Linked DNA regions of Mus musculus. The main gene of each other region encodes a partner of the protein of the gene in region 2 in a complex. Links are inferred from orthologs where the notes say so. Each region holds a gene or a part of one and is shown on either strand. Other genes may lie near its edges. The genes, in order: Fam155a and Nalcn.

Evidence for each region.
Region 1: the proteins of Nalcn (region 2) and Fam155a are in contact, whole or in part, in a cryo-EM structure (PDB 7CM3), measured with the Homo sapiens proteins. The link is inferred for Mus musculus from reciprocal best matches to the Homo sapiens genes NALCN and NALF1. Residues at the interface, in NP_001337678.1 of Homo sapiens: Cys207, Val209, Asn220, Leu222, Ala223, Ile224, Pro225, Thr227, Tyr237, Pro240, Phe243, Tyr406, Glu409, Phe909, Ala1044, Lys1045, Asn1047, Pro1049, Arg1054, Ile1060, Arg1062, Ile1063, Asn1064, Val1065, Ser1066, Lys1069, Lys1080, Lys1081, Gly1083, Phe1084; in NP_001073865.1 of Homo sapiens: Lys278, Glu281, Phe282, Val285, His287, Lys288, Tyr289, Leu290, Gln291, Glu294, Tyr295, Ser296, Val297, Lys298, Ser299, Tyr308, Trp311, Leu312, Gln315, Leu335, Gln338, Thr339, Cys341, Phe343, Ile344, Leu345, Pro346, Asp347, Asn348, Asp349.

What each region holds. Positions count from the first base shown.
Region 1 is NC_000074.6:9,232,211-9,236,031, reverse strand, and holds part of Fam155a (transmembrane protein FAM155A), read left to right. Parts: intron 1-2,926; coding exon 2,927-3,098; intron 3,099-3,821. UniProt on the Homo sapiens protein: Auxillary component of the NALCN sodium channel complex, a channel that regulates the resting membrane potential and controls neuronal excitability.
Region 2 is NC_000080.6:123,280,889-123,284,709, forward strand, and holds part of Nalcn (sodium leak channel non-selective protein), read right to left. Parts: intron 2,849-3,821; coding exon 2,696-2,848; intron 330-2,695; coding exon 212-329; intron 1-211. UniProt on the Homo sapiens protein: Voltage-gated ion channel responsible for the resting Na(+) permeability that controls neuronal excitability. NALCN channel functions as a multi-protein complex, which consists at least of NALCN, NALF1, UNC79 and UNC80.

The DNA.
Region 1 (3,821 bases), on a different chromosome or scaffold from region 2:
CAGACTTACAAAATTGCCTTTCCTCCCATGCAAATCTTTTTTCGGTTAATGCTGGAATGTTCTAGCAAATGTCCTCGGTGCTTGTGTTGTCTGTTTTATTGCAAACATGTCCGCACAGGGAAAAGATAATTCCTTCCTTATATAAAACCATTCCCCTGCTTTAATCTCTCACATTATGATAAATATTTCTTCTCTGTCCTCCCTTATTTTGTTTCCTCCTCGTGGTTCCCGCTGCTGATTCTCAACAGATGCCTGGGAACAGAAATGTATTTCTCAGATGGGAGCTTTCTATGGCTATCTAAACATTCACGTTCACCACAGAACTGAAGGGCAGGGAAGCTGGCTGCATGCGTGCTGGCTCACTGTGGTGGCTGGAGGGCTCTCGCGCGCGCGAGCGCTCTCTCTTCTCTCTCTCTCTCTGTCTCTCTCTCTCTCTCTCTCTCTCTCTCTTCTGCCTGGTGATGAGAAAAAAAAAACTCACTCTGCTTTGGCCGCTCGCTCACTTCTTGAGGCAGGAACAAATATCTGCAATGGGAATGGGATGGAGCAAGAATAAAAATGGGTGCATCTCAGCTGGATCATGGCAAGGGAAAGGGTGCAAAGGATATGTCCATATCTCAGAATGCATCACTCAGTGCCACCCCATGGTCTGTGGGTGGAGTGGGGATGTAGACAGGTCATAACCTGACACTCAGACTTACGGATCTGAAAGGATATAAAGCTGCCTGAGGGTGTAGTTCAGTTGGTGGCATGCTTGCCTAACGTGAACAAGGCCCTGGGTTCTATCCCTAGCACAGCATAACTAGATATGTGCCATACTGCAATTCCAGAGAGATGGGGGCAATATGGTCATCCTTGACGACATAGTGATTTCAAGGCCAGCCTGGCACTCTGTCTTAAAAAAACAAAAAAGTGAATAGCCAGTCGGGCAGGACTGGAGACAGAGTGGTGCCCATGGAATCCCTGGAGCTTTTTCTGTATGTGCAGAAAGAGTCTTTAAAATAGAGCAGACCATTGTAGTCTAAAGACTACAGAGCCCCGTAAATATTCAGTGAGGGCTTCCACTAGCATGCAGTTTTATCACTAGCCTGTACATACGAAAATGCCCACTTGCTTCTAACACCTAGCAAAGGTAATTAAAGCCAGAAATCACAAAGCGCTTAGGGCACCCAGACACCATGGCTTCACTGACATCATAAATGCTGTATCCCCTGTCGGATTTTGTCACACTGGTATAGGTTGATCAAAAAGCGTCCCCCACTGATGCTTTACCCCAAGTGCAGTTTAGACACCACTTCTCTGTTCCTTCTTGTGAAGTTGATGTTTCTGCCCCTTATTCTGTGGTGTTAGCTGGTCCACAGGACACCTACCACCCTGGGAGCCCATGGCATACTTGGACTTGCCAGCTGAAACACAAGGTTTCTCAGCAGCCTCCTTGGTCATTGTTATGTTAGGATTCATTCGAAACTCCATGCACACAGGCATAAAGTGATCAGGATGATGGTAAATCATTACTGACTGCAAGAAACGCTACGTTGGCCATCTATAGTTATTAATAAATTTCATATTCATCTTTGCTGCCTTTAGAGACCTTTTCTTCAAAGAATAAAACGTGATTTTTGTGAAACTAATAAGAAATTGTGAGGTAATCCCAGAACAATTAGCTCATAATAAATGGGCTTTGGTCAGGTACCCGAGTCAAGTTGTTTACAGTTGTCTGAAAACCCTGTTAACGGCCGTATGTTTTTGAAAGCATTTTCTGATTAAGCACAACATAACCACTAAAAACAAAAGTCGGGAAATCTACGGATTTTGGGCTTTGAATTCTAAAACTTTCTATTTATTTCCGTACTTACTGTCCTCAAGAAATATGTGATCAGTCAATATATTCTAAATGCCAAGAATCGGGGCTGAAAAAAAATTTAATTTGCTAGGAAAATACATAAATTTGTTAAATACGTTTCATTTTCATCCTAGTTTATATTTTATTCATGTACATTTATTGCTAAGCCATCCATTTTTCAAGGTAGAGTATAATGGATGAAACATTAACTAAATAGTATTATTTACTCCTAGAAACTAGCAGAATCCACTGTTGCTAAAGACCTGGAAAGAAACTGAATTTCACAGATCTATGCTGCTTTGTTTAAATTCAGACTTAGTTTACTTCACGGTAGGGGGAAGGGGCGAATTTTCAGTGCTTACTTCCCCAGTAATCACACAGAGAAAGAGATCAGTGAAAGCCACACAGTCAGTAGAGTCCATAAATACTTAGCGAAGATAGATTGCACTGGGTCAAAGGTCAACTGCAGGATTCTGGGGTAGGAACGACCATTCTTCTAATCAAATGGAGCAGATTATGTCTGATTTGTACTGAGTGTTTCCGTTTTCAGTGAGGTTTTCAGTGCAGTCCGTGTGAGTCACAGATGCAAACACCCAGTTCTTGTTGCTGTCTGCTGTGGGCAAAGCAAGCTGTAACAGCCCACATGCTTTTGCACCTTGCAGGAGTCCTTGCAAAGCGCTTCGCGCGCCACCTAGTGCCCAATCGAGGTATGAGAGGTGGGAAAGAGCAACTGAGTCTCTGCCCCACTGCAGTGAGTTACATTATCAGCGGGGCTTATTGTGTTCTTTACTTTATATATCACTGGATCCTAAAAACTTTAGAGTTGGTTCAAATGCACTGTTTTCCAAGAGTTCTTTAAATTAAATACCTTTTCCATTCTCCATAGGCTTGTATTCAATACCCTCACTGCAGGTACTCACAGCGGCATTCTTACCATGTGGAGCTGTAAAAAGCTCTACCCCAGTTGTTTCCGACCCATGTAAAACTGAAGCATGCTCTCTCCACCCAGCCTAATCCTTATTAAAAAAAAACGTGTGTAGCATCCCTCCACAGCTCTGATTTTTTTTTCTCTTTGTTTTTCAGATTGTCTACAAAGCCTGGCTCTGCTCCCAGTATTTTGAAGTCACACAGTTTAACTGCAGAAAGACCATTCCTTGCAAGCAATATTGCTTGGAGGTGCAGACAAGGTGTCCATTCATATTGCCCGACAATGACGAAGTCATTTACGGAGGCCTCTCCAGCTTCATCTGCACAGGTACAGGCTGGGTGGGGCCCTCCTTTGATCTCCATCAATATGTTGCTTCCAAAACCCCGAGACTGCCCAAAGGTATTTTTATGTGGCCTGAGCCCAGAAAAGCCTCCCAATGTGATTTAAACAAGGGTCGATGTCTCTATCACACAGCTATGCTGCAACCGAGACTCTCTGTGAATGTCTCCTGAGGATAGCTGCAGAGTCTAGGGGGAATTTTATCAATGACTCCTTCCTATTTTGTGATGAATGTTGTCACCGTATCTTAATCAGTATTGAGGACAAAAGGAGATGTCAGCCTGGATCACGCATGTACACACTGGGGCAAAAGAGGCCAGGACAGGTGATTTTTATATTTTCTGATAACAATATCTCCTTTATTTTTTTTTTGGCAAAGAATCGAGATGGGCAGGATGCCAACACCAGCTCTGGTGTCCAGAAACCCATGAGTGTTATGTAGTTTAGGCAGACAGAGAACACAGGGTCAAAGCTAAGAACAGTCTCATCCTGACAGGTCATTAGTGGGGAGAGCACCCTTGCTGAGCACGGGGAGTGCACCCTTGCTGAGCACGGGGAGAGCACCCTTGCTGAGTGAGCACGGGGAGAGCACCCTTGCTGAGCACGGGGAGAGCACCCTTGCTGAGTGCTCTGCTGATGTGAGCTCTTTGGAATTCACTTCTTTCCTTTCAGAAGAGGAGGGAAGACCCAATTTTAAAAAAACAATTTACT
Region 2 (3,821 bases):
ACAGACCAACTGACTGTGGGCTGAAACCTCCAACAAATAAGCCAATAAACCTTTCTTCCTCTTAAATGGATTTTCAAAGTTATAAATTAGTGTAACAGAAAGCTGACTAATTCAGATTTTTACATATTAATTAAAATCTAAGACCCAAAGTAAAGAGAGTAAATTCCTCTTAAATGTCCCCAACAGGTAGAGAAATGATTGATGTACCTACCTGAGGGCAGACGCCATTGCCCAATCTTCCTTTGGGGTTTTCCAGTATCTGCTGCATCCTGTCGGCTTCCTCCTCTGTCTGACAGAGTAGGGCTTAAGAGCTGCTGCTGACTGCTTGTCTACATGGAAGAAGTATTAGTCATTGTGGGTCTTTCTCTTAAAAATACACATATTTAATTGGTCACAAATATTTGTACAAATTTGTGGGGTTTTGAAAAATGATCGTATAGAACAGTTTGGGCTCTTTCTTAATTTTCCTCCCTCACAGCTCTCTAGGTAGTATCTTTCTCGACCATTCCATTAGAGTGTCCATCCTTCACTTCCTTCAAGCCTGAGGATTTCACTGATTCCTTAAACTTGGCTGGAACATTAGGCAAGGAGAATGGCACTATAGGGAGAGACAGGATGTCAGGGACAGGATGTTTTGTGGACATGGACTTTTGCCAGCTTAAAGGTCAGAACCAGGAGCTCCAGAAGATGCATCTTGGTGGACAGAGCTCTATGATATGCCCTGGGGAAGCCCAAACCCAGGACTAGCTGATGCTGAGGATTGCAAGGCAGTTTGCCCCCATCTCTAATTCAACTCTCTCTTAACCATAGTCATCATATTTTTTAGATTTACTTTATTTGTGTGTGTGTGTGTGTGTGTGTGTGTGTACAAAAGTGTGTGCCATACATGTACAGTTACCCACAAGGACCAGAAGAGGGTATTGGATGCCATGTATCTAGAGCTATGGGTGGTTGTGAGCTGTCAGATGTGGGTGCTGGTAATGGCACTTGGGTCCTCTGGAATAGCTGGTGTCTCTTCAACCCCTCACTGTCCTGGTTTTTACACCATATTAGGCGTTTCCCTCCACTTGATTTTTGGACTACCTTTTTGAGAGTTCTGGAATCATTACATCCCCTCAATCATTGGTCCTGTCTCAGTGTCTGCCTAAACCTGATCTGGCTCTTCCTTGTAAAGCACTTCCAGATATCCTGGGGTCAGACCTGTAGCAGGATGACTGTAGATCTTTTGGCCTCTTTTGCTGAATTCTCCCATAGAAGTCTATAGAAGGAGGCAAGTGATTCCTGGTTTCTTGCTGGGAGCATCAAACCACAGAAAACTGTACCATGGCACAACAGGTCCTTTTGCAGCCTCTACTGGGCCATGGAGTCCTACTCTTCATTTTGTTCCTTTCCCCTGAGTATGTTTCTTTGCATGATGAACTATGTGCAGCTGGAGGCACTGCACAGTGTGTTGGATGGACTCCATGTGATTAGCATCAAATCACCATTGCAGCCACATAAAGGGGCAGGTCTTCCCTGCCAGCTGCTTCTCATAAGCACAGGGCTCTCCCAGATGCTGGAAATTCTGGCTTTTTGTTTGTTTGTTGAGTAGGCATTTAGAATAACTGAAAATGAACCTAGCTGTGTTTTAATAGACAGAAGATCCTCAAATAACATTTCTGAGTTCTATATGCTCCTCACTGCCCAACTAAGAAAAGATAAATGGATAAATGCATTCATTTGGTCCATCACAGAATGTTGAAAGCCAAGTGCCTACATTTCCCTAAGTTTACTAAAAATTTCTATGATGTACTGAGGGGGGAATATTTAGGCCTTCATGATAATCATGATTTTTTAAAGCATATAACATTTATATGCTCAAGTTCAGCTTTTATGATAACATTAAACTTTTAGATAAAAGAAACAAGCAAAAACCACTCAGGATGTGAACCATTTCTAGTATATGAATTCTGTAGTTTGAATCTTGACTGGCCCATAAGTTGAAGGCTTTGTTTCCAGCCTAAGACACTAAATGGGTGAAGACTGTCCTTAAAGAGGATATTGAGGACCCATCCGCTCTTGCTCCCTGGCCATCACACAGAAATAAACACCAAACACTGACACCATTGCATACACTAGCAAGATTTTGCTGAAAGGACCCTGATATAGCTGTCTCTTGTGATGCTATCCTTGGGCCTAGCAAACACAGAAGTGGATGCTCACAGTCAGCTATTGGATGAATCACAGGGCCCCCAATGGAGGAGCTAGAGAAAGTACCCAAGGAGCTAAAGGGGTCTGCAACCCTATAGGTGGAACAACAATATGAACTAAACCAGTACCCCCCCCCCCACCCCCGTGTCTCTAGCTGCATATGTATCAGAAGATGGCCTAGTCAGCCATCAGTGGAAAGAGAGGCCCATTGGTCTTGCAAACTTTATATGCCTCAGTACAGGGGAACGCCAGGGCCAAGAAGTGGAAGTGGGGGGGGGGAGTGGGGGGAAGGGCATAGGGGACTTTTGGGATAGCATTAGAAATGTAAATGAAGAAAATACCTAAAAAAAGAAATAAAAAATTTATGAATATACACATTCTCATTATTTTTGGTTCTTTTGCAACAAAAGGTCATGTGAGAAATTCTGTTACTTGATTTGAAGTGTCTCTGTGACCAGTATCAACTCCCACAGAACATCATTGGGGTAAGGGTGACTTATCCTACCTCAGGTTGCATACTGTGGTCCTGGCTGTTGGCGTTGCTGTCCTCACTTGGCTGGGTGGTCTCAATGCTGGGAGGATTCAGGAATAGCCGGCTCCGCTCTTGCTCCTGGCTCTCTCTCAGGCTGTGGATGATGCTGCACGACTGCTGTTGTTTCTATGGAAAATTCTGTGCTTTCATAAGGGGGAAAATGTGCCCACCTCTTTACCCCATTCCCACCAAGTCACAGTTTCTTCTTCCCTCTTTGAAGACCTATGATTTTGCTGTCCTCTTAGGAAATTCCAAGTAAGGTTCTTGAACTAGTTTTGAGGATATTAGATTGATATACAAGTCTTAAAGATTAGAAGCATCCCCATCTTTTTCATTTGTATAACATTTGGATTTTTTTATGCTCATCCATACTAGTTTATATATTATTCAAAACTTACTAATGTGGGTGTTTTATTTTTTTTTCTTTTATTTACTCTAGGCTCATTTAATCAATGCAAGTCCCCTCCCACTCTACACTTTCCTGAAAACCCTAAGCACCAGAAGGTCTTGAGTAGATGAGGAGGAAACTTTGAACTCTTTGTTCTGAACTTTGTAGGCCAGACTGGTAGGTCAGTTCAAAAGCAGCCTCTTTTTCCTGGCCAGGGCCTTCTTAACATCTGATCAGAACATTTGTGATTAATGGAACAAGAGTTAAAATGGCCATGTTTTGATTAGGTTGCAGTGAGAAGCTAACTTTGCTCTAGGAGGCTGGGCTGGAGTATTTAGTTTCTTTGGGAACTTTTTTCTCTAACAGAAATGCTTATTTTTGTAGTGGGTGTTGTTGTTTTGAAGACCAGGATCAAACAAATCTTACATAACATTAATTGCATTGCAGGAAGTATATACTGAGTTATGTGCCTTTCTTCTCTGTACGTGAAGTATGAGTCACAAGCATTTATAAATGTTAATTACCTAATAGAAGTACTCACTGGAAACACAGTATATGCTAATGGAGTACATATTCATTAATATGTGAGAGCCTCATACAAACTTACAGTTCAGAAGGCAGCAGGCACATCATTAAAATTCCATGAGAGGTAGTCTTTAGAGACCCAACAATATGATAAACCATATGTTAAAACTTTTAGTAGCAATTTAA